Linked DNA regions of Oryzias latipes. The protein of the gene in region 1 purifies or fractionates together with the protein of each later gene. This does not show direct contact. Links are inferred from orthologs where the notes say so. Each region holds a gene or a part of one and is shown on either strand. Other genes may lie near its edges.

The links.
Region 2: the proteins of cebpa (region 1) and mrto4 purify together in Homo sapiens (affinity purification with mass spectrometry; 3 studies listed by BioGRID and IntAct, with this or other methods). This does not show direct contact. The link is inferred for Oryzias latipes from reciprocal best matches to the Homo sapiens genes CEBPA and MRTO4.
Region 3: the proteins of cebpa (region 1) and cdk4 purify together in Homo sapiens (affinity purification with western blotting; 3 studies listed by BioGRID, with this or other methods). This does not show direct contact. The link is inferred for Oryzias latipes from reciprocal best matches to the Homo sapiens genes CEBPA and CDK4.

Annotation. Positions count from the first base shown.
Region 1 is NC_019861.2:37,779,430-37,788,258, forward strand, and holds cebpa (CCAAT/enhancer-binding protein alpha), read left to right. Parts: upstream 1-719; 5' UTR 720-912; coding exon 913-1,782; 3' UTR 1,783-2,334; downstream 2,335-8,829. UniProt on the Homo sapiens protein: Transcription factor that coordinates proliferation arrest and the differentiation of myeloid progenitors, adipocytes, hepatocytes, and cells of the lung and the placenta.
Region 2 is NC_019863.2:9,134,471-9,145,820, forward strand, and holds mrto4 (mRNA turnover protein 4 homolog), read right to left. Parts: upstream 7,561-11,350; 5' UTR 7,464-7,560; coding exon 7,436-7,463; intron 4,074-7,435; coding exon 4,015-4,073; intron 3,931-4,014; coding exon 3,827-3,930; intron 2,720-3,826; coding exon 2,638-2,719; intron 2,546-2,637; coding exon 2,478-2,545; intron 2,392-2,477; coding exon 2,240-2,391; intron 953-2,239; coding exon 876-952; intron 798-875; coding exon 648-797; 3' UTR 396-647; downstream 1-395. Other genes in the region: aflatoxin B1 aldehyde reductase member 4, read left to right, coding at 62-223; iffo2 (intermediate filament family orphan 2), read left to right, coding at 10,637-11,112. UniProt on the Homo sapiens protein: Component of the ribosome assembly machinery. Nuclear paralog of the ribosomal protein P0, it binds pre-60S subunits at an early stage of assembly in the nucleolus, and is replaced by P0 in cytoplasmic pre-60S subunits and mature 80S ribosomes.
Region 3 is NC_019863.2:27,218,938-27,230,377, reverse strand, and holds the start of cdk4 (cyclin-dependent kinase 4), read right to left. Parts: upstream 6,906-11,440; 5' UTR 6,681-6,905; intron 4,974-6,680; 5' UTR 4,967-4,973; coding exon 4,749-4,966; intron 4,673-4,748; coding exon 4,537-4,672; intron 4,442-4,536; coding exon 4,274-4,441; intron 2,969-4,273; coding exon 2,859-2,968; intron 1,872-2,858; coding exon 1,821-1,871; intron 1,735-1,820; coding exon 1,599-1,734; intron 1-1,598.

The DNA.
Region 1 (8,829 bases):
GTCTGAACGGCTTTTAGAATCCAGGGCTCTGTCGTCCCGCACTCCATAGTTTTTAGTAGTTAGGGGTTATGGCGGGAATTCAGACACAGCCCTAAAGTGAGGAGATGAGGACAACTTTCTTTACTGGAACACGGCGGTTCACTCTGAGAGACAGAGGAAGGATTTCAGAGATTCCTGTGATTTTATGTTAACAATACTGTTATGATGTTCCTGGGTCAATTTGACCCGTAACATAACAGGAGGGTTAACAATACTGTTATGAGTTTTTGTGATGAATATCAGATTATTAATGATGAGTTCCTGAGAAACTGCTGTTGTTAGTCTGAGGTGTTTTCCTACACATTATTGACAAACAAACAAACAAACCAAACTGTGGCTTTTTAAGCACCAAAAACTTGTGTTTTAATGCAACACCCCCCTCCAAAAAGAAGTTCCAAAAAGTTTTCATCGATCTGCCTGCTGCCAACAGAGGGCGCTGCTGTCCGCGGCGCCCTCTACCGCAGGATTCGAACCGCGCACCTCCACCTCCTGCCGCCAGCCTGCAGGAGCCAACCTGCAGCTCTAAGGAGTTAAGGCGGAGGTGCAGCCGCGCCGCTGATCCGGAGCTCAGCCGGGCTTCCGGTTCTGCTGTTCCCATCTATCCAGCCCCGCAGCCTCCGCGCTGAAACCTGAGGCCCGCGTGCGCGTGTGCGCGAGAGCGCCGCCCACTCCCTTCTTAAAAGGCGGCAGTTTGACAGCTCAGAAGTTACTCAGCAGGAGGAATCAGACCGACAGCTCCAGCCTCCGCGCGCTCTCACGGCTGTCACGCGCTCCCAGCCCCGCGAGTGTCTGCAAGCCGCGCGCACCTGAGCAGACCCCTCCAAGCTGGATCCCCGGAGCCCGTCGCCATGCCTGCCCGGGTTTAGGTTCTCCATGGAGCTCTCCAACCTGTACGAGGCCGCGCCCCGACCCCTGATGAGCGCCCTGACCCACGGCCAGCAGCCCCCCTCCGGCTACAGAGACCTGGCGGAGGTCGGCGGGGAGATCGGAGACACCGAGACGTCCATCGACCTGAGCGCCTACATCGACCCGGCGGCCTTCAACGACGACTTCCTGGCGGACCTGTTCCACCACAGCGCCCGGCAGGACAAGCTGAAGCTCATGAGCGGGGAGTACGACCAGTGCGGGGGGGCCCCGCAGCAGCTCTACATGTCCAACTACATGGAGTCCAAGCTGGAGCCGCTCTACGAGCACAACCCGCCGCGCCTGCGCCCGGTGGCCATCAAGCAGGAGCCGCGCGACGACGACGAGCTGAGCGGGGGCATGCCCCCCACCTACCCGCACCCGCAGCAGTACCCCTCGCAGCCCCAGCAGCCGCAGATGCCGCACCTCCAGTACCAGATCGCGCACTGCGCGCAGACCACCATGCACCTCCAGCCGGGCCACCCGACCCCCCCGCCGACCCCGGTGCCCAGCCCGCACCACCACCACCACCACCACCACCACGGGCACGCGCAGCAGGGCAGCATGAAGCTGCTGGAGCAGCGGGGGGGCAAATCCAAGAAGCACGTGGACAAGAGCAGCCCGGAGTACCGACTGCGCCGCGAGCGCAACAACGTGGCTGTGCGCAAAAGCCGCGACAAGGCGAAGCTGCGCAACATGGAGACGCAGCAGAAGGTGGTGGAGCTGAGCGCGGACAACGAGCGCCTGCGGCGGCGGGTGGAGCACCTGACGCGCGAGCTGGACACGCTGCGCGGCATCTTCCGGCAGCTGCCGGACGGATCCTTCAAGCCGCTCAGCTGAGAGGCGCGCGGGCTCTGGGATGGAACTGAGCTCGTGCCTTTTCCGCGCGCACAGGCAGATAAGCTCGTTTTTGTGCCTCATCCAACGCAGCTAAGCGCGCACGCAGCCTTTGGAGCTGTCCGCGTGCGCCTTGAGCCTGCAGATGCGCACGGACTCTCGAGCGCGCGTGCATGACTGAACTCTGATTCTGCAACAAGTGAGATTGGACTGTTTTCCTGCGCACAGACGCTCCGGTTTCTCAAACCGAAGTGTCGAAAAAGTGGATTAAAACTGGAATCGAACCCGCGAGGAAACCGGAGCCGGACTGAGTGTCCTCGCGAAGAAACCAGGATCACAGAATCTGGTTTTTATGCAACAACCAGCGGTGCCTTCTGACCCTCTCTGATGACCTTTGACCTTCGCCTGATCTGTTCAGTGAGGAACAGGGCAGCACTTGTTTGTTTCAGTTGTAAAATAAGCCTATATATAAATATATATGTATGTATGACAGAATATATGTACAAAAATGACCAACATTCAGAAATATTGTAATAAAAAACTGGTTCAGATTCTGGCTTTTGTCCTTGTTTTTTCTCTGGAACTAAACTTTCTGCTCGTCTTTTCTGTCACTAATTGTCATTTCGTGGCTCGTCTGCTGCTGATTCTGACAAATCACTTCCTGTTTTCTTCTGTGTCAATTGTCACTTCACATGTCGGACAAACGCGCAAACCTTGTTAAAACTCGTTTTAAAAAGATAATCTGATAAAAGATCCAGAAATGGACTCCCAAGAAGCATCTTCAAAGAAAAGTCATGACATTTCATTTTCAAAATAAACTTCTGATCCTTTTAGAGACGTTTCAGACTTTTGCTGCTGATGGACAAGAAAACAGGAAAGCAGCCAGAGAAGCAAGCAAACTGTTTGGATGTGAAACATGTTCTGGTTCCACAGGCTGGAGTTTGAAAAGATGAGAAGCATAAAGGATGAGAGGTTTCTGTCCTGGATGGATCTGCTCTAAACGACATGAAGACCCTGAAGGAGCTGCAGACACGTCTGCTGAATCCTGATCAAATAAAATCAAGACGTTTCTGCAGAAATGCAGTGGAGGTCGATTCTGACGCGCTGAAACGCCAAATGACACCAAAAGATGGAAGACATGAAAGGAGATAAACATGATTAAATGAGGAATTCATGATCAATAATTGCAGAAATGATGACAAATGGCGGCAGGTTAGCTCAGGGGGCAGAGCAGGTCGTCCAACAACCGAAGGGTTGGAGGATCGATCCCCGCCCTCCCCAGCCAGCTGCCCCCCCCCAGCAGCTCACCGCTCCCCCAGGGGAGGGGTCAAAATGCGGAGAAGAATTTCCCCGTTGTGGAATAAATAAAGTATCAATTATTAAATGCAAAAGAATTTAACTAGAGGCTTAAAACTAAAGTAACATCTTTATAATAAACTACAGAGAATAAAACGCTGAAGCCGAGTTAGACAGAGAAGAAAAGAGAAGAAGTGAAAAGAAAATCCAAGAAGGTAAAAAGAGTCATGAATAGACACAAACAAAGATGTGAGACTTTATGCTGAAAAGTCAGATCAGACAGAAAATGCTGCAGGGTCGTGTCGGGAAGGGCATCCGGCGTAAAACCAAAGGTGTGGATCCGGGAAATGCCGAAAGGTGAGCTACAAAAATAAAAGCCTAAAGTTCTCCAAAGGAAGCACTTTAATTTGAAAATCCCCGATGATGCGGGACAATACTAACGGGGTAAAAAACCACAATGGTGGCCGAAAAAATGGTTGAAGGAGAAATCCAGAGCCGCTGAACGTCAATCATTTATGCAGCAGCTAAAAGTTTGTCTGTAAACTTTATTTTGGTAAAAAAACAACATAAACAAACTAATCCTGAAGAATTCTATGAATGTTGCTAAACTGAAATAACTCAATCGCTGGACCACCTTTAAAATTCTGTTTTTTCATTTACAGTTTTCACCTGATGTCTTTTTTCTTTCAGTTTAAAAAGACAAAGTTGGAAAAAGTTGATTGGAGGCCGTGACAAACTCAAAGTAATCGACAAAGTGAGGCGTTTGCACTGAAACGCTCCTCACCCTGACAGTCGGCTTTGGTTATTTTCGTGTTTCTCAGAACCAAAACTGCTCGGATCGACGGCGTGGCGGCGGTGGAGGTGGACTGAGTCGAAAACGTTGCTGCTTCCAAGCAGCAGGTTTCCGGAAAGTCCTGTCCTACAAGGCAGAACAATGAGCGCATCCATCAGAGGAGGAAAAAAAAAAGAGTCATGGCTGATTTGTGAGCAACAGACAGCAAACATGTGTTTGGAATAAAAGCTGCTTTCTGGAAGCAGAAGTGAGACCCCCGCTCCCACTCCGGACTCTGGTGTGGGTTTCTGCTTGGCGTCAAACGCCAAAGGACCTCGTCTCACCTTTAGGTGGATTTCTGATCTAAACAAATGAGTCCACAGAATTCCTGAAAGCACGTTGTGCACGGCCTGCAGGGGGCGACGTGGAGACCAGAGGGTCAGTCAAAGTTATGCAGGAAACTATCAGATAAAAGTTTTTCCCGCCTGATAGTGACTGTGAGCCTTTTATCTCAAACCAAAGACTTTTACTGTTTCTAGAACTCTGAAAATCCCTCATTTAAACTCAAAAGTTCACAATGAGCCTTTGCTGAAATAAACATGTCAGCAAGCATGAGAACGGCGTCATCCAAACTCTGCTGCCTTTCTGCAGGCCGACAAGAAGCGGCTTTAACTGAAAACGGAGCCAAGAAGGTTGTGGGTGCAACTTTCAGAGCTTTTATTCTGAAAGGCTCCTGCTGAGACTCACAAAACGCAGCAGAAACCTTCAGTATTTGACTCTAAAACACATTTTACTCCTTTTTTTAAATTTCAAAACAGATTTAGTGACTGAAAGTCGTTGAGGGGACTTCAGTCACATGTGTAGAAAATGTTGGAAAATTGTTTTCAGCTGAACTGTCCAAAGACCAGGAAGACGGAACAAACTTCAAAAAACATTTAAAACGCAAAAGAAAGAAAATGGAAAACGGAAGATTCAGCGAATAAAAGCCTAAAGCCACGAAAATCAATCAGAATAACTGAGGTGAACTTCAAAGTCCCCTCAGATCTTTCTGTACTGACTAATCATGACGCTATTGTTCTACTACGACAAAGATGATGTCAGAAAAATACTTGGAATTTTATGAATATAAATATGGATCATAATTGGTCCAAAATGCTCATTAACTCTGACGACCATGAAGCTCCTGTCACCGGAACAAAACGTTTGGTGACAATAGCTTCAGCATCTTCAGAGCTATTGAGCACATCTATTATGATTGATATCTATTATAATGTGAACAAATACATGCAATAAAATGTTGATTGTAGCATGACCATGCAGACAAGTCTTCATTACCAGCTCATAGAAATGTAGACATTTATTTATTTTGGAGAGATTTTGGATTTTTACAGAAGCTTGCACTTTGTTGACGGTCCCTTGGCAGCCGTCTGGCTGCTCTGTCTGTATTTCCTGCTGGAAGAGATCATTTCTTAGCAAAAAGCAGAAGAAACATCATTTGTAGGTCAACCTCTGTGTTAATACAAAACGATTGAGACTTTTGTCATATTTGAATGTTTATCAGAAGAGTTATTGAGGCCGGAAGTGACCCTTCTGGGCCACCGTACATATCACCTGGAGTGACACCAAAAAGTACTTTTTTTTTTTTTTACACCAACAGTAAACATCGTCTCAAAAATGCCTTCATAGAAACAAATATTGTTAATATTAATATCACAAAAAGTTGTGTTGTCTTTCTGCCTCATTCTGTCTTTCAGTGCAGCTTCAGCAAATATGCAAAATAGCGATTCTGAGAATAAAAATGATTAGAACCAAACTTATAAATTGCGTGTATAGAACAGGTTAGTGGACACACGTTTATTTTAGTATCAGTAGGCTTTACGTGTCATGACAGCAGGTGAAGCCCTGCCTGTCACCTGCCTCTCCAGACCGCACTTTCCTGCTGGAAACGTGTTTCAACCAGGAAGTCCAAACTTCAGAACCGATCCAAACCCGCGCAGATGACGTCCATCCACCCAAAGCAATTTAACCCGCAAAGTCAGAATAAGAACCACCCTACTGAGCGGGAAACCGATGCTGCCTCCGCTCGCTAGCTCACGAGTCTCTGGACTTGCTGTTGTCTGGAATGTACCATTGCTGCAGAAGGACGGGGGGACCAAGCACTTTTACATGATCAATATTATGCCAGTTCAGTCATTTGGCTGTTTTTTATATAAAATGATGGATTTAAAACTTATTTTAGACATTTTTACTACTGTAAGTGTTCAGCTCGGGGCCCCCCCAGAGAGTTGGGGGCCCCAGGCGATCGCCTACCTTTGCCAAACGGTAAGTCCGCGCCTGTCAGGTGAAGCTTTAGTCCCAGTTGTCCTCACGGGTGGATACGACAGCATCACCTGTACGTCATAAGTGCGAGAGTCTTCCATTATCCCTACAAATACTTTACGACTCACCTACCACGTGCACAACAATGGTACGCTCCACTTTCATGACATCTCTAAGGCGGCCGTACGAGCCTCAAGGGACATGAAAGACACACCTGCACTCTCCTTTAGATGCAGCCCCTCCTCTCTATGACCCTCCACGGACCGGACCACCCCAAAACCAGCAGAACCCGTAGGGGTTAACCCCCCCAAACGGGTCATGTGACTAAAGCTTCACAGAAACCTTAGAATCAAATTCAGCATTTTCCATTCCGTATTTCTACGTGAGGAGAAAGGAGCCAACACCAAAAAACAAAGCAGAACCACAGCATGAATAAAGATAATAAATGGCAGCTGATCTCTGAAAGGCGCTGTATTAAAACCAGGTGAGGTGGATGCAGCATCAGCTGGGGATTGTGGGAAAACGACAAAAAGAAGGAGGAGAGCAGGCAGGTTGTTAGGAAGCAACAAGCAGCTGGCAGCGAGTCTGATGACTTCCACATGTTCCCAGCAAACCCAAGTCAGTCTGATTCAACGTGAAAGACATCCCTGAAAAACGCCACCAGCTCGCCGTTCAAGCAGAGCCCTGAGGGGGCGGGGCCCTGAGGGGGCGGGGCCTCTGTGCTCCTGAGGGTGTGAAACCAGAAGAGAGGCCCCGTCGTCCTTGGAAACGGATCCCCCCCTCCTTTCACTGCATTCGGTCATTCTGGGTCTTTTGTTTCAAGCAAACTGTAGGGTTTTGTACAAATGACAGAACCAGAACCTCCAGGTTCTGAAATGACCCGTGGAAACCGGAGGACGGTCAGTCGCATCGGGAGCAGCAGCCAGTTAAAGGAAGTTGAAATCTTTGTTGTTATTGATCAGACTTTCAAAGTTCCACTCCGATCTTCTTCTGATCAGTCGTCATTCAGGGATGATGACCGGAATGATGGGCGGAAATCCAAAAGCCGGTGTCGTTTTCTAGGACCTAGTTTCTGCAGAGCGGCAGGAGTTCAGTAGAAATTCACATCTGAGTTATGACTGTTGGCGTGGAGTGAACCCGCCCTTATTTCCCATCATCCCTCTCCCACTGGCTTACAGCCCCTCACACCCCCAGGTCCTCACTTCACGTCTGCCGTTCTGGTTTGGCAGAAATGTTCTCTCTTTTCCTGAATTGACTCAGGAAAACCTGAAAGCTGAAGATCAAACCGAGGAAAAGTAAAGAACGCGGGTCGGGAGCTGAAGCAGAAACCGCAGACCGAAGGTCCGACCTGAAGAGCAAAGTCCTCCTTCCTGCATCTCCACGGCGTGGGATCAGGAGCGGCGTGCGTGACGACAGCCGGACCCTGGTGGACCGTCATGGTGAGAAGTTGGCTGCCGTCCTCCTGCGGATGGAAGCCATTAGTCTTGCAGCTGGAACCTCTCCTCCCTCCGTTCCCTCCTTTCTGCCTTATTTCTCTCTGGTTGCTTCTGGCCCGGTTCAGGCCCGCTTGGCCGGACCTCAGGATCCTCTCACACGGCTCGGTGAGCCGCTTCCAGGGTTACTGCTGACAAATCGCTGTCATTTTGCCGGTTAGGATGTAATTGGCTGCAGAACGTTGAGTTGAGGTTTGGACGGATCGTCTGATCCTGCAGTTACAGAAAAACTGGACTCTAAATCAGGTTTCTGCTCTCTTTATGAGCATTAATGTTGCTTTTCACAGAAATAAACAGATGGGATCCAGTGACTCGTCGCCAGAAACCTGCAGGAGGTTCTGAGAAGTTCCCAGGATTCTCAGAACCTGGACTCCGGCCCGTTCAGGCTTCTCGAGACGCCGGGAGTCTTCAGGACTGGAGGAGCAACCAGAGCTTCAAGGATGTCTGAGAGGAAGACTGGAGATGAGATGAAGGTGGTTAACGTTTTTCAGGATCCAGCTTTCTATGAACAGCAGCTGCAGCCAAAAGTCTGCTTTTCAAAAGGTCGGAGAAACAAAAACATCAGAGTCCGGAAGCCTCCTTCAGAATGTGCTGGACACCCGACACCATGTCCAAAGCCCCTCAGGCAGACGGAAAAGGGTTTCTGGTTTGTTCTTCTCATGGAGGAACCCGGTGAGACCAGGAGAAGTGGAGACACCTCCCAGATGTTTAGGTGTTCCCAGACAGAAGGAGGACCTCTGGACGCTGGCTGGACTCTCCTGGAGGAAGGAGGAAGACCTGACCTCCTCTGAAGGCCGCTCCACGTCCTGAGGAGTCTGCTGAGGAGGTCAGGATGAAGGGGGGCGGGGCCAGTCAGACCTCAGCAGCTGGATCTGTCAGCTGTTGGGGGAACATCTGGATCTCAGAGGGTTTCTGAAATGTGAGGAAACTTTCAGCTTGGCTCATGAAACTGCAGAGAACATCCAGGTGAAGGTGAAAACCCGGAGCTCCTCCCCTCGTCTCAGAACCGGATCATGGAGCGGTGATGGACGGAGAACCTGAGGCTGTTGGGTCATGAAGGTCTGTGTTGCTGCTGGAGAACACAGACCTTCTGGGGTTTTAGGGAGGATTTCTGGTTCTGACCGTAACATTTACAGCCCAATGATGAGTTTCAGGACTAAAGCAGACCCG
Region 2 (11,350 bases), on another chromosome or scaffold:
CCACCACAAGGTGTCCCTTTTTCTTTAAACTGAATCCAAACAGAACTCTGTCTGTGTTCAGGGGGATCTTGGAGATGGAGTCATCCTTGGAATGTCGAACATTGAGCAACTTAAGCAAAACCTGGATGCTGCAGAAGAGGGTCCTCTGGACCAGAGAGTTGTTGATGCCTTCAAGGACGCCTGGAACCTTGTATTTCACGACTGTCCAAACTACTTCAGATGAAACGACTGCAAATGTCAAAAAAGCTCCAGAAAATTTCACTTGATTTCTGCACTGATTTGTTTTCTGAGATAAACGGTAATGGACCTTTCCTTTTTAAATTCCTTAACTGTATTCAGGTAAGGAATTAATTTTCACAATAAAAGCTTTTTCCACTTAAATGCTGAGCGTGACAATCGGTGAAAACAGACATTTATTGGGAGCTTTGATGAACCACATTGAAAACTCGGTTTGCATAAGCACAATCACATGGACTCAACCACTTCTTGATGCTAATAACTGCTTACTTTACTTTCATTGAATGAAATTAAAAACGGAGAGAAGTCCGGACTCAGATGTGTGTACAGCGGCACAGGAACTTAGTAAAATAATTGTCCCTCTGCTTTTCAAAGCAGGCATGAATGACTTGGAGGTGAAGTCATCCCCACTATTCTGCATCCTCATCCTCTTCGTCGTCGTCATGGTCGTCCAGCTCTGGTTCCTCCTCACCAGCCAAGCCCTGGAATTCCGTTGTTTCTGAATTCCACATACATTTGATCTTCACTTTGAATTCTGCCATCTCGATGGCAAAAAGTTTCTGTTAACAGAACATAGAAATTGAAGCTCACTGCAGAAAAACAAAGGTTTCAATCACATGAAACGCTGAGAAGCTCACCAGAATCCGAGCCTGCTCAGGAGTTAGGATGTCTCCTTCTTTGCAGACTTCGTAGTCTTTCAGCAACGTTACCACTCCTGAAATACGGCAGATCAAAACAAACAAGCTGACAAAATGTTCCTGTTTTCCATTCATTATTTGATTCATTCAGGCTTTTCTATTTTACTGCATATTTAATGTGTGTAAAAACAATATTTTAAATATTTATTTGACTGGTTATCCATCCTAAATCTAAAAGTAAACCGACACTGAAGGGAACCTTTTTCAACACAAAACTGCAGCGTTTCAGGACTGCTGTCCAATTCAAACAGCATTTCATCTAAAAGTAATGTTCTTCCTTGTTGATGAAGTCCACTCTGATCATCCTTTGATCAATTCTAAAAGTGTTCCCAGTGGTCTTTGAATTATAATTATGCGTTTTCTAGTCAAAACCCTGCCAAATATCTCCCGTTTTCAAGGACAGTTTCTGCAGAGCAGCAGGAGTTCATTAAGGCGGGACGTACACAGATCTGTCTGCGAGTGGATGCATCAGCATGGAGAAGAGCAGGGAGCCTGTTATGGAAGTTTTTCTGTAGCATAATTAAGAATAAAAGTCAATACCAGAAATGCTTTTTTCATTTTCAAAATGAAGCTGCAATTGTTGACTCAAAATTAAAAAGAAAAAGCGGTTTGGTGGATTGCTTTTTTGCTCCTGATTCACAGCTATTTGAACAAAGAAATTCGCAGAAATGTAATTTTAAGTTTAATTTTCTTTATATCTCCTTCATAATCATAAGAAGAAAAAAAGTTCAAAACACCCAAATCCTTATTTTCATCAGAGCGGGTCTAGAAGACTAGTCGAGTTATGGATCCATCTCCAGCATCTCGTTCTGTTCCAAGGATTTAGAACAAAGTTCTTAACCACATTTGATTCGGATCCCTCTTCATATAAGAGCTGCCTGTAACAGAGGGACAGCTACATCCAGACCAGATGTTTCTCGTCATTCTTTGACCATAACAAAAGCCAGAGTTCTACCGTGTGACCGGCTCACTCTCTACCTTAGCACATGTAATTGGCCCCGATGTTTTTCTATTGATCGCAAACTTCAATACACTGACCACTATCTGCCTTTCTTATCCCTCCATGTATCTCCATAAAACCCTGCTGTGCTGGCAGGACAAGGTTTCCAATAGTCACTGAGGGGGCTTTTGAGGCGGCTGTTCTTCATGTAACACTAAACTTTCCTGCTTATTAAAAGAGATTTGTGTTTTTTTTTTTTTTTTTACTACCATTCCTGTTTTTAAGAGCTTTTCAGGTTAACAGGGGTTACTTGTAATTTTCCTTTCAAAGGTCATCAGAAAACAAGTGTTGAAGTGTTTTTTACCCTTCTTGAGGGCAGTGGGAAGCCCCAGCTGTCTTAGCTGAGGCTCCATTGAGTGTGGGAACTGCTCAAGAGGTCCCTCGTCCAGCGTTACGTCCATCTGAGCTTGGTTTCCAGCGCGGGCAAAATCCATCTCTTTGAAATGACTGAAGTATCTGCAGGTGAAGGCCAGCACTCTTTAGCTGATCAACACATAAAGCACCAATAAAACAACAGAAGCTTTACTGAAACCATCACTTACTCATATACTTCATCCTTTGTTTTGTTTGTGAAGAGAACCCCAACTTCCCCTCGCAGAAACTTGCTGACCTGCACACCAAAAGCGTAAAAACTTACAACCTCTTCAGTATGGAGGATCGGATTGCATTTATACATTTCAAAAACAGTCAATATCTGCTTACCTTGTGCAAATTGTCTTTGTATTCATCTGGACTTCCTTTCCCCAAAGCTACAATCATGACTTTATTTTTGCCAAAGAAGAATCTGTAGATTAGACACAAACATCAGAATCAATCCCCCAATCCTCTGCATTCCACAGGAAGCTTGTTAATGCTGTTAACGGGAAAAGTGGTTGCTCTTTGGACTCCTGTTGCATGCAACCAGGCTCGATCCTGTTGAGAAAACTAGATAATCAAAGATTACGTGGACGTCCTACCTATCTCATGGACACTTAGGTATGCACATCACTAGTGGCTGAAGTGTGGCGTAGGGACACCGTACACCAGTATCACCTGTACGCATTGACTGGATAATAAATAACTGGACGGATCGCGTGTGCCGTCACCATAGTCAATGCCTTGATTCCAGTTCCAACCAATTTAAGATCAAACTTATTAAATCCACAACTTCAGGGGACCAGCGTTCAGCTTGTCAATAAGATATCTGCCCCACTTACAGCAGATTACCTGGATCAGGTGTGTCCCATCACTAAGAAGCTGCAAGGGGAGGGATAGATGGAAAACCAGCAAGACAGCAGCCCTCTAGAACGGGGATTGTGCACCGTGAGCAGAGAAGTGATCAAATAAAATGATAATAAAATTATTGTGGCGATCGTTAATGATGGGCAGATGAAGCATTGAAGCCTTTTGTCCGATTGACTCACTCAAGTATAGTGATTCTAGTATGACTTGTACTGGACTCAAAAAAGAAGTTGGCATGAATTTGAAGTGCATGGCATTTTGCAAAAAAGTCTGTGACTAAAACTGTTGAGTTGGGCGTAAAGTGTATTAGTAAGTTTGTGATATTAAAGTGTACACGTGAATACACACTTAGTACACACAGTGACACACAAAATATACGTATTATACACTGAAATCCATTTAAGACCATTTTACCTCCATATCATTAATTAGAAAATCCTTATTCCAGGCCATGTTATGGCCAAAGATTCAACAAATCTTCTTAGATCCAATTCTTCAGTGTACGATTTTATCAGCTACAATAAAACATGTGATCTCAGTTCACCCAGATGATGGAATGAGCTAAATCTGTCCCAGTTTAGCTTGGTGGACTTCAGCCAGGACAGCAAACTGAAAACTACACAAAACCAAAACACAAGCAGGAACTTGGAACACAACAGAGCACCATTACCTGCTGTGCTTCCATGCTGTCCGGATATCTTTTAACTTGTTATTCCTCATATTTTCAACAGAAAATATGAACAGGTTCCTGTATGTGTCCACGCATTTTCTTAACTACAAAATAAAAACAAACGAGGAGGTTTTAGTTCATTGTTTTTTGCTTGATTCTATCATTGTTGTGTGGTGACTAACACTTACCTCCTCAATTAATTTCTGCTTCGACTCCAATCCTTTCTTCGTGGTTTTCGTTAACGAAACTGAGAAAATAAAAAACAAATAAGAATACATTCTCTAAGTTAGACTGAAACGATGCAGTTGCTTTACAGCGCATCTTCTTTCTCTTTCGGCTTTTCCCATCAGGGGTCGCCACAGCGAATCATCCTTTTCCACCTCACTCTATCATGAACATCTTCTACCCTAACATTAGCCAACTTCATGTCCTCTGTCAAGACATCCATGTATCTCCTCTTTGGCCGTCCTCTTGCCCTCCTGCCAGGCAGCTCCATCTCCAACATCCTTCTACCAATATATCCACTATCCCTCCTCTGAACATGTCCAAACCATCTCAGTCTGGCTTCTCTGACTTTGTCGCTAACACAGGCAACATGAGCCGTCCCTCTGATGTACTCGTTCCTTATCCTGTCTAACCTGGTCACTCCTAAGGAGAACCTCAACATCTTCATCTCCGCTACCTCCATCTCAGCCTCTTGTCTCTGTCTCACTGCTACCGTCTCTAACCCATAGAGCAGAGCTGGTCTCACCACTGTCTTGTACACCTTTCCTTTGAGTCTTGCTGGCACTCTTCTGTCACACAACACTCCTGACACTTTCCTCCACCCGCTCCAACCTGCCTGCACTCGCCTCTTCACCTCTTTTCCACACTCCCCATCACACTGAACTGTTGACCCCAAGTACTTAAACTCCTGCACCTTCTTCACCTCAGCCCCCTGTAACCTAACGCTTCTACCTTGATCCCTCTCGTTCAGACACATGTATTCTGTCTTACTACGACTGACCTTCATGCCTCTTCTTTCCAGAGCAAACCTCCACCTCTCTAGCTGTTCCTCCACCTGCTCTCTACTCTCACTGCAAATTACGATGTCATCCGCAAACATCATTGTCCAGGGAGATTCCTGTCTTACCTCGTCTGTCAGCCTGTCCATCAGCATAGCAAACAAAAAAGGACTCAAAGCTGATCCTTGGTGTAGTCCCACCTCCACCTTGAACTCCTCTGTCTGACCTACAGCACATCTCACCACCGTCATACTTCTCTCATACATGTCCTGAACTACTCTGACATACTTCTCTGCCACTCCAGACGACCTCATACAGTACCACAGCTCCTCCCTCGGCACCCTGTCATACGCCTTCTCTAAATCTACGAACACACAATGCAGCTCCTTCTGACCTTCTCTGTACTTTTCCATCAACATTCTCAAAGCAAAAATGGCATCAGTGGTGCTCTTACGGGGCATGAAACCATACTGCTGCTCACAAATCTCCACCTTCTTCCTAAGCCTGGCTTCCACTACTCTTTCCCACAGCTTCATTGTGTGGCTCATCAACTTTATTCCTCTATAGTTGCTGCAGTTCTGCGTGTCACCCTTGTTCTTAAAGATCGGAACCAGAACGCTTCTCCTCCATTCCTCAGGCATCTTCTCACTCTCTAGAATCCTATTGAAAAAACTCGTTAGAAATTCCACTGCTGTCTCTCCTAAGCACTTCCATACCTCCACAGGTACGTCATCAGGACCAACGGCCTTTCCGCTCTTCATCCTTTTCAGAGCCTTCCTAACCTCATCCTTTCCAATCTCTGCTACTTCCTGCTCCACAACAACCACATCTTCCTCCCTTCTTTCCCTGTCATTTTCCTCGTTCATCAGCTCCTCAAAATACTCCTTCCATCTTTTCTGTACACTCTCCTGGGTTGTTAGCACCTTTCCGTCTCTGTCCTTAATCACCCTTATCTGTTGCACGTCCTTCCCATCTCTGTCTCTCTGTCTGGCTAGCCTGTACAAGTCCTTCTCTCCTTCCTTTGTGTCTAACCTGTCATATAGCTCATCGTAAGCTTTCTGTTTGGCCTTTGCCACCTCTCTCTTCACTCTACGCTGCGCTTCCTTGTACTCATGTCTACCTTCCTCAGTCCTTTCTACATCCCACTTCCTTTTAGCCAACCTCTTCCTCTGGACGCATTCCTGTACTTCCTCATTCCACCACCAAGTCTCTTTACCGTCTTTCCTCTTTCCAGATGACACACCTAGCACCTTCCTACCTGTTTCCCTGATAATCTCTGCTGTAGTTTCCCAGTCATCTGGAAGCTCATCCTGACCACCCAGGACCTGCCTCAACTTCTGCCTAAATTCCTCACAAGTTTCTTCATTCTGTAGCTTCCACCACTTGGTCTTCTTTTCTGTTTTCCCTCTCTTCTTCTTCCTGACCTCCAGAGTCATCTTACACACCACCATGCGGTGCTGTTTGGCTACACTCTCTCCTACCACCACTTTGCAGTCATTAACCTCTCTCAAATGACCTCGTCTACATAGGATGTAGTCCACCTGAGTACTCCTACCTCCACTTCTGTATGTCACTCTATGTTCCTCTCTCTTCTGGAAGTAAGTGTTGACTACAGCCATTTCCATCCTCTTCGCAAAGTCCACCACCATCTGTCCCTCCAGATTCCTTTCATTCACACCAAACCTGCCCATCACCTCCTCATCACCTCTGTTGCCCTCACCAACATGCCCATTAAAGTCTGCTCCAATAACAACTCTCTCTCCTCTGGGGATACTCTCTATGACCTCATCCAACTCACTCCAGAATCTCTCCTTCACTTCTAACTCACAGCCAACCTGTGGCGCATACCCACTGACTACATTCACCATCACCCCTTCAATTTCTAACTTTAGGCTCATCATCCTGTCTGAGACTCTTTTCACCTCTAGAACACTGTTTACAAACTCCCCCTTCAGAATCACACCTACCCCGTTTCTCTTCCTATCAACACCATGATAGAACAGTTTGTATCCTCCTCCAATACTACGTGCCTTGCTGCCCTTCCACCTTGTCTCCTGCACACACAGTACATCTACCTTCCTTCTCTCCATCATGTCTGCCAGCTCTCTGCCTTTCCCTGTCATTGTGCCAACGTTAAGAGTCCCTATTCTCAAACCTATGTTCCTGCCTTTTCCCTTCTCTCTCTGGCCACGGACCCTTCTGCCTCCCCTCTTTCTTCGACCAACAGTAGTCAAATTTCCACCGACACCCTGTAGGTTAACAGCATCGGTGGCGGTCGTTGTTAACCCGGGCCTCGACCGATCCGGTATGTCAAAAGTGTTGTGGATGATTCGCATGGTTATTTTGGCAATTTTTACGCCGGATGCCCTTCCTGACGCAACCCTCTCTATTTATCCGGGCTTGGGACCGGCACAGAGGCAACTGGCTTGCAACCCCTGTGGCTAGATTGCTTTACAGCGCATCGCGTAACACATTTGTGCTAATTTTTGTTAGCTTATAAAACGTCCACGACCGAAAAACGAGTGCTTTAAGTCGGTAACAGGTTTTAAAAACTGGAATCGAATAAATATACCAAACACATCAATATAAACTTTTAATTTCTTACTTTTCTTGTCTCTCTTTGACTTGGGCATGGTTGTTCACGTTGGCAGACAGCGCACGTGAAGCAAAAGGACCCCAAATGTTTCTTTTCCTGTAAGATGACCACACAGCGCCTGATTAAAAATAAAAAGAATTATCAGGTTTTTTTTTTTATTGAAATTACTTTAAACAATGATTTACCTAAACTAAACGCATTAAACTCATTGGTGATGCATTCCCCCCACATTCTAACATATTTTATCCATTAATTAATTTATGTATCAAACATGTAATTAGTTTTGTTCTAATGCCTGAAGAAATATGTGGACTTCTAAACTCTGCAACGTTGTGGACAAACTTTGATAGGGTACCGGATGTTCTCGGGTTGCCGGATGTTCTCGGGGTCCTTCGGGGTCCTTCGACCAATGATGACGTCACACTATTTGATTGGCTGTAAGTTGCCACGACCAATGAGTTAACGTAGCTAAGTTTTTTAAAAAACTTTATTGACAATTGCGGTATCATACATTAACAATGACATTAACGTTAACAACGAACAATAACGATGTAATCAATATTGCCTCGAAGATCAGTCACCATTGCCAAATATAACATATTGACATAGAAAATACATAATAGAGGGGAAAAAAAGAAACAATGAACATAACACACAAATAAATAAAAACATAAGTAAAATAAAATAAAGGAACATAGAAAAAATCTAAGTAGTCTAATACTAGTTAAGTTAGGGGTACTCGTGAAGTTTTTATTTCTGAACAAAACTAAGCAATTTCAAGCCATTCTTCTTTTTCATATAATGAAGTGATTGAAAGCAAAAACAGAGCTCTTTATTAAATGTTATAAAAGTGGTTTGGTCTTCAAAACTTGACCTCACCAAGATGGCGGTGCTCTCCTCCCATGAGGAACCACGTGATGTCTCCTCTAGTGATAGAACTCATTGGAAGGACCCTGAAGGACCCCGAGAACATCCGGCAACCCGAGAACATCCGGTACCTACACCGCCTATTTAGGAAACTAACACAAAAAACCTTTGGCTCTGATAACACAAATGGGTCACCTGCTTCACACTAGGAACTGAACATCGGTGTAGTGTTACTGCTCCAAATACCATCATGTGAACACCTAGCAGTGCCAATCAGGGAAAACTGGAGGGCAGATCATGTGTTGGCTTACTTGCTTCACTTACTCAGTGTGATGCACCATAAAGATCATTTTGAAACAGCTGGGCACTGATTTTGCAAAACAGCTATTAATACTTCAAATGCCCTTATCAATCATATACTTTCTTGAATGTTATTGCAGGAAAAGATTTATTGCATATTCTTTTCCGTACTCCTGTACACACTGAAGCTTTTATGCCCATTATAGCTGCCATCTGGTGGGGATTATGAACAGATTAACCTACAAAACAGCACCTGAGCCACAGAGAAGCAGCACACACAGTCAAAGCAATGCAGTACAGGTACAAATTGTTTCTGTTTACCTCTTTGTAATAGAATAGAGCAAATCTATCATTTTTGTAACCCAAAAATCCAGTTTGGACAGCTACTTCAGGAACAATATGTAACTTTAAGAAACACAAAAAGTGTTAGGGCTTCACGTAACAATAGAACATATAGATCTATTATGGTATAAAGTGGAAAAACAAGGAAAACACCACTGAAAATGCTATTAAAGCAGAGGTGTCCAAACTTTTGCAAAAAGGGCCAGATTTGGTGTGGTGAAAATGTGTTAGGGCCAACCTTTGTTTTGCATTATTTGTACCGTTATAACATAAAATGCAAATGAACCGATTGATTGATTTTTTTTCTCCAATGGGAAACTTTTCATTTCTTCACATTGAAAGGAATCAAACCAAAATCAACTTTCAGAGAAATGCATTCAAAATTACAGTGAAATTCCAATTTGAAGACCAAAAAGTCTGTCGGTGGAAAAAAAAACTTTCGTCAACACAGAATCTGAAGTGTTATTCCCCATTAAATGCTCGCTGTAAACTTTTACATGTAAATCATGAGAACAGGAAAATAAAACAAATAATGTAATTCAGAGTTGCAAACCATTGTGGTTTGTATCTGTAAGGCTCTAAAGGTAAAGAAGACAGGTTGTTGCCACAAATTTACAACAGCTTATAATAACATTTAGCCGAACACAATAAAAAAAAATCGTAATTCTGAGAATGTGCTTATGGGTCTGCATATTGTTGCTTTTATAACTTGAGCAGGCAAGGCAGTAGAGATTTGAACGGGATGGACTTTGGACATGCCTGTCCTTAGGGAAACAAAAAAGAAAAGGAGAGGAGACCTATTTTTTTTTCTAAAGGATTTCAACAGCCCATTTTCATTCATTTTACCATAAAAATATTTATTTGTCCATTTCAACCCTTAAACGCTTCAATATCTCCTTTCATGTATCACACATTAACTGTACAGATGAGCCTTGAAGACAAAATGGGACACATTGTGTACACACAATGTGATAGAGCGGATGAAAACTCCAGTAGGGAGGTTTTGCCTCTGTTTTCAGAGTTTGACATGAATCTATTAAGCCTGCAGCAGTTGGTGGAAAGGCTTAAGGTTTTGAAATGAGCGCTGCTTTCGGTTTCTGCCACAGGAGGGCGGAGGGTGGGACGTGTGAGGGGTCGATGTAGGTGATAGTGCCGAGTTTAGCACTTTGCAACCTGATCTTCACGGAGGCAGGGCTCTGCGGTGCCAAATCCTGCCTCGCCGCTCTGTATGGAGACCGGATGGAGTCACCCTAGACGGTATGATAGAGACAGAAGGTGGGCCTTCCTCCTCATCAGTCAGCCGGCTTGTCATCATCATCACCACCACGCAGCAGCAGCAGCAGCGGCGGCGGCGGCTCTTGAGGAAGGGGCAGACGTGAGGGGAAGTGCGCCTGGAGCTTATTGCGCCCTGCGTCAAACTCCCGTCCCTTCAGGAGATGCTGTCCTCTGTGGCTCTTAAAGGACTTCCCGGAGTTGTTTTGGCTGCAGGGGTTCATGGTAACGTCGCGGGGTAAAAACAAAAAAAAAACCCAGCTGGACAGTGATGGACTATTCCTCCGTCCCCGCATCTGCATTGTGAGGAGGAGCGCACTGTCAGTGGGAGCTCGAGGATAAATCGGAGGAAAATGGCATTTATTTGTCTGTAAAACAGACGAAAGCATAAAGCTGGATTGTGGTTTTTCATTGTCTTTTCATTCCAACATGAGTTCGCTGTTTTTCTCCGACTCCGTGCCTGGCCCGGTGTGCAGCGTCCCAGCGGGCTCGGGCGCGGTGACCAGCGCCCTGCGTAACGACCTGGGCTCCAACATCCACGTCCTGAAAACCCTCAACCTGCGCTTCCGCTGCTTCCTCGCCAAAGTCCACGAGCTGGAGAGGAGGAACAAAGTGCTGGAGAGCCAGCTGCAGCAGGCCCTGCAGCGACCGCAGTACCGACACCCGTTCGCCCGCGAGGTGGCCGTGCAGACGGACGGTCCCGGATCCAGACTGCCCGGCACCATCTGGAGCTTCACCCACATCCGGAGGCAAGGAGAGCGCTATGAGACCCTGCAGGGGCCTGGAGTCACGTGGACGCACCCAGATGGAGTTGGGGTTCAAATTGACACCATCACCCCAGAAGTGAGGGCGCTGTACAACGTGCTGGCAAAAGTCAAGAGGGAGAGGGACGACTACAGGAAAAAGTGAGTCCAGTCCAGACCAATGTATCTACTTCAATTCTTGTTTGGGGGCCACAATAACTAAATATGAAGGATTTAGTGCGAATCACATGGACTTCTCCACTTACATCTCAAAAGCACATCATCCACCCTGACCCACTCCCTTCCTGACCTCTGCCCCACTTTGACCCCACATCACTTTCCAGCATCCTGAGTTTAGAAGCCAGGAGTGGTTAGACTTGCTCACTTGTCTTGAGTCGAC
Region 3 (11,440 bases), on another chromosome or scaffold:
ATTTTATTGATGTTTGGTTTGCAGGATCTCTGCAGCCCGATAGCCATCGGGTGTCCCTGCAGCTGTTTGCTTGAATCCTTTCTTCCTCCACCAAAGACCAGATCTCTATGTTTGTGTGATGCTTCCGTCTGAGGAGGAGAAGCACTTTTTGCCTTTTTCAACGTTGTAATGCTAATATAACAGACTATTTTCATTCATCTTTGTTTTTTAATGATCAAACGGGTCGCTTCATCTGCAGGAGGGGGCGTATGTTACACTGTTTACTTCCGCATTGGTGATCGGATGACAGGTTCATGACGTAGGTGATAAATGAACTTCAGGTTATGTGAATGAAAAGGAGAATAAAGTCTGCAGCGGTCCTCTACACCCAAACGTGTCTCTGAGCTCCTTATTTTACAAATGAAAGTCCGCTTTACTGACACCGAACCCCGGAAAGACTGCTACACGGAAAATAATCTGATTTTGAGTCGCCAAAAGACTCAGAATCTCTTTGTTTTAAACCTATAATCCGAAAATAAAGCTTCACAAAAGGCTCCACATATTTCATCTTCAAGCTAGGCTCCGATAAACAGACAACTTTGGGGTTTTCTCCTTGTTAATCTATGACTTTTTCCCGTAAATTTACGAGTTTTTATCTCCAAATAAAATTACTTTTTTTTGGTGGCCATAAAACTCTGTCGTAAACTCTTAAATACAAAACCACTAGCTCACTAACATTAGCCATAACACTGAATACTCCTGAAAGACTCAGCTTCACTGCTCTCGCGCAACATTGCGACTTTAATCTCGAAACTTTAATTAGACTTTTATCTCGACACGAAGAGTTTTTTCTCGAAACTTTGTGTCGAGTTTTTTCTCGTCATGATGAGATCAAAGTCTACATGACGACTTTAATCTCATCATGTTGGCCAGAATTTTTTTTCCTCACCGTGGCCCTAAAACTCCGTCGTAGCTTTGAAATGTGTGTCTAACAGTTGTATTTTTCATTTACTACTTAAGTAGCATGGAGGTGGGCTCTGCTGGAAGAGTTTATCTGCAGATCAAAGTTGATCATCAGCAGAAATCTGAGCCGATTTGTTGCTTTCTGGTCCAAGTTTATCAATCTTCAGAGCTGCATATCATTTTTATGACCTTTTGTTGCATCACTCTGTCCTTAAATGATGCACTGGAAATGGAATAAAAATGAAAAGATGTTCTCCAAATTTCACTGGTGCTCCGTTAAAGGGCCTATATCATGCAAAATCATCTTTTTAGCTTTTAAGTGTATTATTATGTTCATTACTCACAAAAAACAACCACAAAGCACTTTTTGCTCTATGGTTGACACCATGAAATGGTAAAAAGTTGGTGCCTCTGAGATCAAGTCGTCTTACTTGCGGGTAGGAAATGAGCTGCGACAATAACTCATTAAAAAAGGTAAATAAATCCTCCTATATTTGGATATAGTTTACTCTGAAAAGCTTACGAAAAGCATGATTTAGGCCCTTTATGTTTACAGACCCATGAATCAACAGTAAAGTGATTCGTTTATCTGCTAATGTCTTAAAGTTCCTGAAAAAAGGGCCGGATGTCTTACTGTTTTAAGGTCAGAACCTTACCAGCAATAGTTGGGCCCCCTCCTCATTTATCTCTGGAACAAAATCTGTTATTGGGCGAGCATGGAGAAGGGGGAAGTTTTTTCTGGACACGGTAACATCAGTGGGCCACTCCTCCTCTGGGGGTAAGCCAAGAACTCTGCAAGGACAAGATGCTTTCAGGCAAACTGGACTTTCACAGATGATCCTCCTGGTAAACCTCGGGTGGAGTTTTCTGCTACTTACTCGAAGATTTTGCCAAGTTGGTCCATCTCTGACTCTCCGCAGAACAAAGGTCTACCAAAGAGAGTTTAGAATGAGGAAGCAGGCTTTATCAAAGTCTGGAGAGGGTTGGGTTTTAGCTTTTTGCCCGTAGATTAATAGCTTTAAAAAGGAATCAACGAAAACTGTCAAATTTAGCACCAACTAATATTTTGCCACAATCCAATTAGAGGCACATTTATTTATTTTACATTTTCGTGAAAGAACAGTTTTATTTGATTGAGAAAAACAGTTTTAACAGTTAAACAAAAATAAAGTGGGATAAAACAAGAAATCCTACAGTAAAAAACAACTAAAAGCATTTCTTCCCTGAAAAAAAAAAGATACAAAAATTGTTTTGAAGGAAAGTTATTCCCTATTTTCTTAAATCAACATTGCAGTTTCGAATTAAAAATTTCCTTTATTTTGAATAATTATTATTTTTTTACCTCCAGCAAGAAACGTTTAAAATGTTTTAGGACATATAATAAAACCATTAGGTGAGAAATTATAAAACAGGCATCTGGATTATCAATGGCGTTACCAACGTCTTTGTATTAAAAGAAGCAAATATTTACAGGAATTCACTTTTCTTTGTCATATTATGTGAATTCGGCACAATCTAATATTTCAAGGTGGATGAGCTGTGCAGCTTTTAAAAACATATTGGTCCTATTGTTAATTGTCTCATTTAAAAGTTCCCACTGCTATAAAGTAACATGAAATATTAGGCAAATAAAGAACTCTTCCATTGATTTTTCAAACTATGATACTCCCCTTCCTACAAATAGACAACTGTTGGTTCCAAAAGATGCCAAATTGGTTCATTAGCAAATAAATAAAATAAAAAAAATCAACATTTTGAAGTGAATCCAGTACTTTCCTAAGGACTGGGGCATGGATATTTCCTTTTAAAGTGACAAACACACTTGGCTGACCTCCATATGATGATGCACGGAGCGGATTTATTTCAGTCTCATCTCATGCGTTTAATCTGCAGTCTCAGTCATTCGTGTCACTCACTTGCGTCTAAACATTTCAGCAAAAATGCAGCCCGTGCTCCAAATGTCCACAGGAGTGGCGTAGCTGGACTGCAGCAGAACTTCGGGGGGTCGATACCACAACGTCACCACCTGCAGCACAAACATATTCCCGTCTCACAGAGATCCATATTCGTTTAGGCCAAACATATGAAGAAAACATTTCTTAAAGATGTTTTTCTGGAGATCTTGGATTAAGTCTACAACCTGTTGTTTAGGGTTTTACTGCAGGTAAAAATAATAACAATAAAAACACAGGCAGGCAGAAAGGGAGCATTGAGAAGCTAAAAAAAAGACCTCGAAGTATGCTTCTCTAAAATCTAACACAGAACTTCCGCTCTTATTCCTTATCAATTTTCAAACTTTTGGCACTTTGGTGAATGAAAAAGGATGCTATCCATATGTCGCTACCAAAGCCGAGTCCCTCACTGGTCAAAGTTCAGCCCAGTATAATGCACGTTTTGTAGAGAGCCCAAAAACGGTCATAGAAACTTGTGTGGCGACGACGCGTGAATGCGAGAGTTTTGAACGCTGAAACCTAATCCACGTACAAAGATTTCTCATAAGAAATGGTCACTTGAACGCGCTTTGCCAAATGCGGTGTAAACGTTAAGAGAACTGGTCAGAGTAAGTGAGACGTCACCTATAGGAAACGGCTTACTTGCAGCTCCAACCAAGTGAGGTCAATTCAGTTCAGTCGCCTTTATTTTATTTTTTTAAATAGGGTTGTCAGTAAGCAGCAATTGGTCGGAGTCTGTCTGAGTCCACATTTCTATAGAAACCACTCTCACCAATCATGAGCGAGCTTGTTGGAAGTCCACACCACTTAAAAGCAAGCTACACAAAATCTGTCAATCAAATGTTTCAAGACACCGCCTACTTTTATTGAGGAACAAGATTGGCCAGTTTATAACTACAGTAAAAAGAAAATCATTAAAAAAAATTGGAGGATTATCAAGAATATGTTCAAAAAGGTACCAGAGCAAGAATGGTCATTTTGACACACAGAACGACTGCTTATTTCTCTATAGACGTCTATGGGATTTTGACTTCTTGGAGCCAGTGGTTACTTCCTGTTTGGAACGCCAGAAGGGGAGGGGTCACTCAGTCCAGCTCTCCTTTACACTCAATGGTAGCAAAGCCGATTGTTTATTGTGTGAGTTATCAAATAGTTATGGTATGTAAAAAACGCAAGTTATTTAGGTGTTGCCAGCGACACCATTCTGGTGTTAAACGGTCAGGGTTGTGTCGTAACTGAAAATGATTTATTCCAAGAAAAGAAGCCAAAACAGACAGCAAAAACAAATGAAATAATCATCTCCAAAGCGATTGTTCAAAAAAACAACATTAACCAAACCGCTGCTGATGATCAAGACGTGAGCACACAGCAGATCTTACCACAGGAGTGAGGGCCATGTGGCAGCTGTATATCCTCGCTAAGCCAAAGTCTGCTAGTTTGACCTGGCCCTGGCTGGTCACCAGAATGTTCTCGGGTTTCAGGTCTCTGTGCATCACGCGGTTTGAGTGGAGGAAGGAGAGGCCAGACAGCAACTGCTTCATCAAGTCCTGAAGACAGAGAAATATTTCACACAAAAAAAGAAAGAGAATCAGTTCCAAACAGTAGCTGCCATCAGTTTTTATTCTTTTCTTCAGGGACTCACTTTCACGCGCTCTGGTGACAACCCTGGAGCTGGAGCTCTCTCTAGATACGTTTTCAGGTCTTGGTCCACATGCTCAAACACCAGAGTGACTTTGGTTTCCTGGTCGGATCTCTTGGTGGCACACACATCCATAAGCCTGGATGAAAGTAGCAAGCACTGATGAGGTGGAGGGGGGGCAACATTTGAGACAAAACCTGTGATAACTCTCCTACCTGACCACATTGGGGTGGTCAAACTGCTCTAGGCGCTTCAACAGCGCCACCTCTCTGACCGTGGACACCGGGAGGCCATTTTGGTCAGTCTGGACGCGCACGTTCTTCAGGGCGACGAACTTGCCACTCTCGATGTCGCGAGCCTTGTAGACGGTCCCGTATGCGCCACCACCGATCTCTGCCACCGGCTCGTACTGCAGACCGGTGCACTGCGCCATGCTCAGACTGGGAGACGAGACTGGGGTCATCTCACATTTATACAGACACCTCAAACTCCAGAGCAGCACTTTTGAGGGATTTACTGAGGGAAAAAGTCTTTAAAAGAACCACTCCAAAAGAAAACAGCGTTTCTGGTTGTTTGACATGTTTTGGTAGCATTTTCTTCTCATGTTGGAGGACATATATTAGGAAAATTGAAATTAAAACTGCTTTACTACTTCTTCTTTTTTCAAATCATAGTGAATCAGGAGCAGACCAAAAACTGCTGTTAGAAAAAGTTTTTACTTGTATACAAAATACAATCGGCGGGCCTCAAGCTCCCTGTTTCTGTCCATGCAGATACATCCACTCGCAGATGACTAGATCCATCTTCGTTTTCCTCGTCTGAGCTAGTATCTGGCTCAAAGCTATATGGCCGGGTAACTCCAATAATGATCACCATTTATTTGTGCTGCTTGCGGTTGTGAGGGACTGTAAGCTAGCAAGACAGAATGCAGACAAAGGGATGATGGGAAGTCAGGGCAGGCTTGCTCAACACAACTCAGAGGAAAAATTTTGATTACCGTAACTCCATCTGCTCTGCAGAAACTATGTCCTAGAAAATTACACAACATTAAAAGATCACTGGGAACGCTTTTAAAATAGATCAAATGATGATTGGAGTGGCTCTTTAGTGTTTTTAAATCAGGAATCTCTCTCTGCACATAAGGAATGGTTTGACAATGATGCCTGGCTGGATTGATCCCTTCCCCAGAGTGACATGTGACATTTGTGTCACTTTGTGTCAAAACTTTCCTGAGCTTCTCCTGTGCGTTTAGTGTTTCGTTTTCCTGCAGCAAGTTTTTCTGCCTCTGCTGTTTGTTTACAGCATAGAAACCAGAGGACAAAAGAGCCGCAAAAAGATCAATTTATACACATTAAAAGCACATTTTTGAGAGACTTTTGCATAAAGCACCAACACAGTGGAGCATTTTTCTTTAACTTGGTTTATCCTAAATGATGGGAAAATGCTTTTTGGTAATTTTTTTGGAAATGAATATATATACTATTCCAGATTAGAGTACATGGAATTATGTAAAAACTTATTTTTATAAATCAAACAACATACAATAAATAGAAAAGAAATAAAATTCACAAATCTATAAATTTTTAACTAAAACAATCATTTCTGTGTTTTGGGAGAGACACAGTGAGTCCAGAGTATAAACTAGGTGAAACTCCCAACAGCCGTTGTTTGAGGGGATCTTCTTGAACCAGTTTGCGCATGACAGCAGCTCGTGATCACAGAAAAATGTATCGATTATCAGATAGGCAAAGCCGGACGTTCGCCCTCCATGTCTCATTCATTCCCCGCCTTATCAAGCGAGAAGCAGGCCGGTGACTCCAAAGCAGTGGGCGGATGTTCATGTGAAATCAGTAGGCCGGGGCAGACACGTGGTGCTCCTCTGTGGCAGTCCTTTGTTAATTTAGAGCAAGAAAATGCAGCAGAAACAGTCCACATGCACTTTTCTAGCTCACACACGCACACACACGTGTCTGATCATTGGTCTGAACGTGGCGGAAGAAAAAGCGGGGGACTATAGTCAGCGGCGGAGGAGACACATCACCGCCTTTTAACTTTTCACATCTGTTCAACATAAAAGCGTAACGCGGCAAAACCATACTCCTCCGCAGGTTTGTGTATTCGACAGGTCACACATAAAAAAAGCTTACCTCGGCCGTTTTTTTTCTTTAAGGGCAAGAGAGCTCACTTTAGTTCGAGCATGCTCGTTGATCTGCCACGTTTATCTGGAGCAGAACGGGTCAGAGGTGGCAGGTCGAGTCCAGGCTGAAGTTTACGGCCGAACAGCGACTTTGATGTGGAAAAGATTTCGGCCTCCGCCGCTTTCCTTCCAGCCTGCGCTCGTTTTCGGTTATCTTCCTGTTGCTTTAGCTTCTCAGGGGGCGGAGCTTAAGTTTTTACCACAAACCATTTGAAGAAAAAAACAAAAAAAGCTTTTTGTTATCAAAAGCCACAAATTCGTGCGACCTATTTTTTGTTAAGCCGTTTTATTTAAAAAAGGGGGGAAAACGACCCCACTTGCTTCACATAAGAGGGAGAAAACAGTGATTTACTGTTTACACTAAATAAAAAAGAAATGGACAAAAATGTTATAAACTTGGAAAGCCTATATCTTATTATAGAGGTTTTTAATACATATATTTCATTTTAAGGCAATGTAATTAGGTAATTCAATAATCAAATCATGGTTGATTGGGTTTTTTATAAGATACCTAACTTTTCTATTCTTCAACCAGAAATTAAGTCAATAAACTAGAGTATCTTCACTGGAAGTGTTTTATTTTTTTTCACTCCATTGACTTACACAACTGCAAACTATCATTGTGGTTGTTTACACCACAGTTAAAACTGTGGTTTTGTTTAGAGAACTGAATAGATCAATGTTAAAAAAGAATTAGAAAATGAATGTAATTAAATATGTTGAAAGAAAATATTTACATTGTTAAAAAAAAACCTTTTATACAAATAGTTGAAATTAAAAATCTCAATCTCTAAAAAATTATTTAATTCAGTGATTTGGATTTTCAAATTAAGTGAATGTCAACATTTTAATGACGTCCACAATGTGGTTTTCTAATTATTTTGATCCTACGGTATGCTGCCTTCTTTTTCATGAATGTATTGTAAAGATTAGTATGTTAACATTAATGATTTATTTGTAAATAACGGGTTAAATAAAAAGCTAAATGTGTTGTAAAAACATGATTTTTAAAAATATATGCACATCAGTTTAAATATTTTCTTGAGAGTTGATACCAGCATAGTTTTTAGTTGTTCATTAATGTTACCATAAAAGCTTACTTTAAATTTATTCATTGCAAAATGAGACAAAATTGGTCAAAATTTTGTCCTATTTTAAAAACAAACAAACAAATAAAATACACCCTCAAGGTATAAAACATTTAACTCTGTTCAAAATAAATTTAATGCAACATTATGTGGTAAATTCAATACTATAAAATGCCAGTTTTGCATGTTTAAAAGATAAGAGATTAGACCTCAAGCCAGAACTTATTAAAAGTTCACTAACTTACATCGTAAAATATTTAAACTCACAAATAAGAGTTTCCTCAATTTTGATTTTTCAAATTAGTAAAAATGTCATTAAAAAAAATAATGTCATAAAAATAAAAATATACAGAAAGGAGTAGTTATTATATTACCCAGTGTTGTCTGTCTTTAAGCCACTTTTGTAAGATCTGGTAAAAGAAGTGCCATCAAGTTTGATCTGTCCCCTGTCTCTGGAGGAATCATAGTGACCCTCAAGGGCATAAATGTCCCATGTGTGTCCATTTACAGTGTGCTACACAGCTGCAGAACCAAAGAGGGGATGCTCTTCACTGGAGGCAGGAAAAATACAACAACTGGGTTTTTTATCTACATTTATGGGACTTTTTCCTCTCAATATTTCAGACACACAGGTCTTTGTCTGCCCCAAGATGATCAAACTCTTCCAGTTCAGGCAATCAGTCTGGATTATTTTAAGAGAAGACTAAAGAAGATGTACGTTTAGATAACTAATGTGAAAAAGGATCACAAGTACACTGTAATCAACCACACATTTAATTACAAAGTTTCGCAATTTAACTTAATCTGAGGAAATGAGTAGCATTTTTTTCAATTTTGTTTTAAAAGATCTTTATTAAGTATAAAAGTAACTACACAATCTTTGTGATTAAACATCAATAGTGGACTTGTGGTCATCTAAAATTGCAGCATTACAGTTTGTGTTCTCTGTTCTGCATAGAAAATCTATGTATAGCCCTTGTTTACTCTTCTTCTTCAGTGTCGTTCTGCTGCATGCTGAAGGGAAAGCTGCATATACTTTTTAGACACGTTAGATTCTCAAGGCTCGAAATGGGTCTTAAACAACAGCTTGTTTTATTTTGAAATGAAAAAGGTGCTAGTATCTAAAGGTGAAAAAGGTGTCCACGTGGAATGGCCTTGAACTCACAGGGTTAGGAAGCTGAAAACCTTTTTATATAAATAACACCTTTCAGAAAAAAATCCCAAAGTGCTTCCTGGTGCAAAATGTAAGTACAAGGCATAAAGTAAAACCTTTAAGTTAAAATAAAACCAGTCAAAAGGCTTTAAGTGTCTTGAGCTGTCAAGGAAACTTTTTGGTTGTGCAAATAAATAGAGGGTGGTAGGGCATGAGGATTGAAGGACACCACCCACAACGACAGCACCCATCTGCAATGTGGTCTGGAACAAGAAGACCTCTAATGGAAACGGATCTGAAACTGACGGACGATCATCTGCTCCCAAAGTAGAACACCCAATCTTCAACAACGCATAAGCCAAAATAAAAAGACAGACTTTCACAAAAGAATTGGATTCAATAACAGCAACCAAAAATAATTTTAAAAAAACACGTTGATTTTTGAATGTATGTCAGAAGTTAAACAAACTGAATACTGAGGAAGATTAATATTTTTCTTTTGACTTTTTATTTTGAGTTTATTGATACTGACGAAACCAAGAATGTAAGACAACACAAAACACATAAACCACATAATAAACAAGTAGATGTTGTACCATCCCATAAACAAACAAACATGTGTTCACCCTTACATACATATAGTAATAGGCAGAAAAACAAGGGAAACGGGAGATGTAAGATTTGCATAATAATCTTTCTTCATGCTTTTTCTGCATTTTAGTTATATTTTTTACAACACATGTGACCTTAGTGTTTAGCGACACTTCTAAGTATTCCTGAACAGAAGTACTTTTAGAAGTGTTTGCACACGCAAAACCTTCGCCACTCCGATTATCTTTTAATCCATTGTAAAAGTGTTCCCAGTGTTTTATTTTATTTATGATTATGCCGTTTTTAACCAAAGTTTTTTTTTTTTAAACTGTTGTTTCTTTTCTGGACATAGTTTCTGCAGAGCGGCAGGAGTTCATTAGAAATTCATCTCTGAGTTGTGGCCAGGACTGTTGGCTTAGAGCAAGCCCGCCCCCTTTTCCAATCGTTCATCCCTTTACACTCTTTTCTCTTCAGCTAGCTTACAGCCCCTCACAACACCAAGCTAACATTACCTTTGTAACAAAAGTGGTTAGCAATATCAGAGCTATCCAGCCGCACAGATGCCAGCTCGGACGAGAAAACGAAGATCTACATGGATCTACTTGTCTGCAAGTTGATGCATCAGAATGGAGCAGAGTAGTAAGCAGGAAGTGTTTACTACGTCACAAATAAGCTCTTTTTCAAAGGCATTTTTCGTCTGCTCCTGATTCACATAGATGTAAATATAGAAATACTCAAAAATGCAATTTGAAGCTTAATTTCTATATGATATGTTCTCCATCGTGAGAAAAATGCCACACGAACATGTCAAAAACACCAAAAAGGCGATTTCCATCGGAGTGGGTCTCTAACGACTGTTTCCTTTCTGGGATAAACATGCATGAGCACGTGGGCTGCACGTCACAGGAATATCAGCACCTTGGACAGCAGCCACAGTCGGCGCAGCGCCTTCTATGGATGGAGCTCTTTCTTTCCCCATCAATCTGCTCGGATCCCAGGAGCATTCACGGGGAAACTGATAATGAAGTTCACATTCCAGGTCGAAGATGCTCCAAACTGTTCTGAAATTCAAAATTGTAGGGAAGGAAAAACATCCGCCTAACCAGGTACCTTTCTGGAGTCAGTCACGTGAAGTGGCACTTCGTTGTCCCACTCGTTGCCGGAGGCCACCGTGTGATTCGGTGAAGAAGCACAGAGGAGGATGAAGGATTTCGTGTGAGGATCCCGTCGGGGGGCAGCAACTCCGCCGGGGGCGCATCCCAGGTTTGCAGGAATCTGCATAGCGACTCTCTTTGTCTTCCTGGTCTGTGTGGCGAAGAGACGGGGTTTTTTTCCCCCCATTAAATTGTTCCTCTTCTTCTGGATGATTAACTTTGTTCTGCTGTACCTGCTTCCGGCAGCGGGAATAAAACCTGCAGGATTTTGATGATCTGTGAATTGATGAATGCCGCTGCGAGACAACAAAGGACGCAGATTTCTGCTCTCGTCTCCAATTACTTCCTTTGACTCAAACAAAAACAGCTTGACAGACAGAATGTCAAGCTTCAGACGGTCTTTGACAAAGAAGAAATATTTTGTTATCAACCTTTAGCAGTTTTATTTCACTATTGACACATAAGAAAACCGTTAATCATTTTTACATCCATAAAAACGATTTGATGAGGAGGAAGACGCTTGACTTTTACGTTAGTGGCTCCATTAAATCCCGACATAATTTCCCCGAAGAATGGTCCCTCCCCATTGGCTGGACTGCAGTGCACATGCTATAACAACAGGATATGCAAAGAGCTGATCTAACAGCCTATCATGTCCTGCACATGCTTTTTGCATCACAGCTCTGCTCTCTGGGCTTGAATGGAGGAAATTCACTAAAAATGA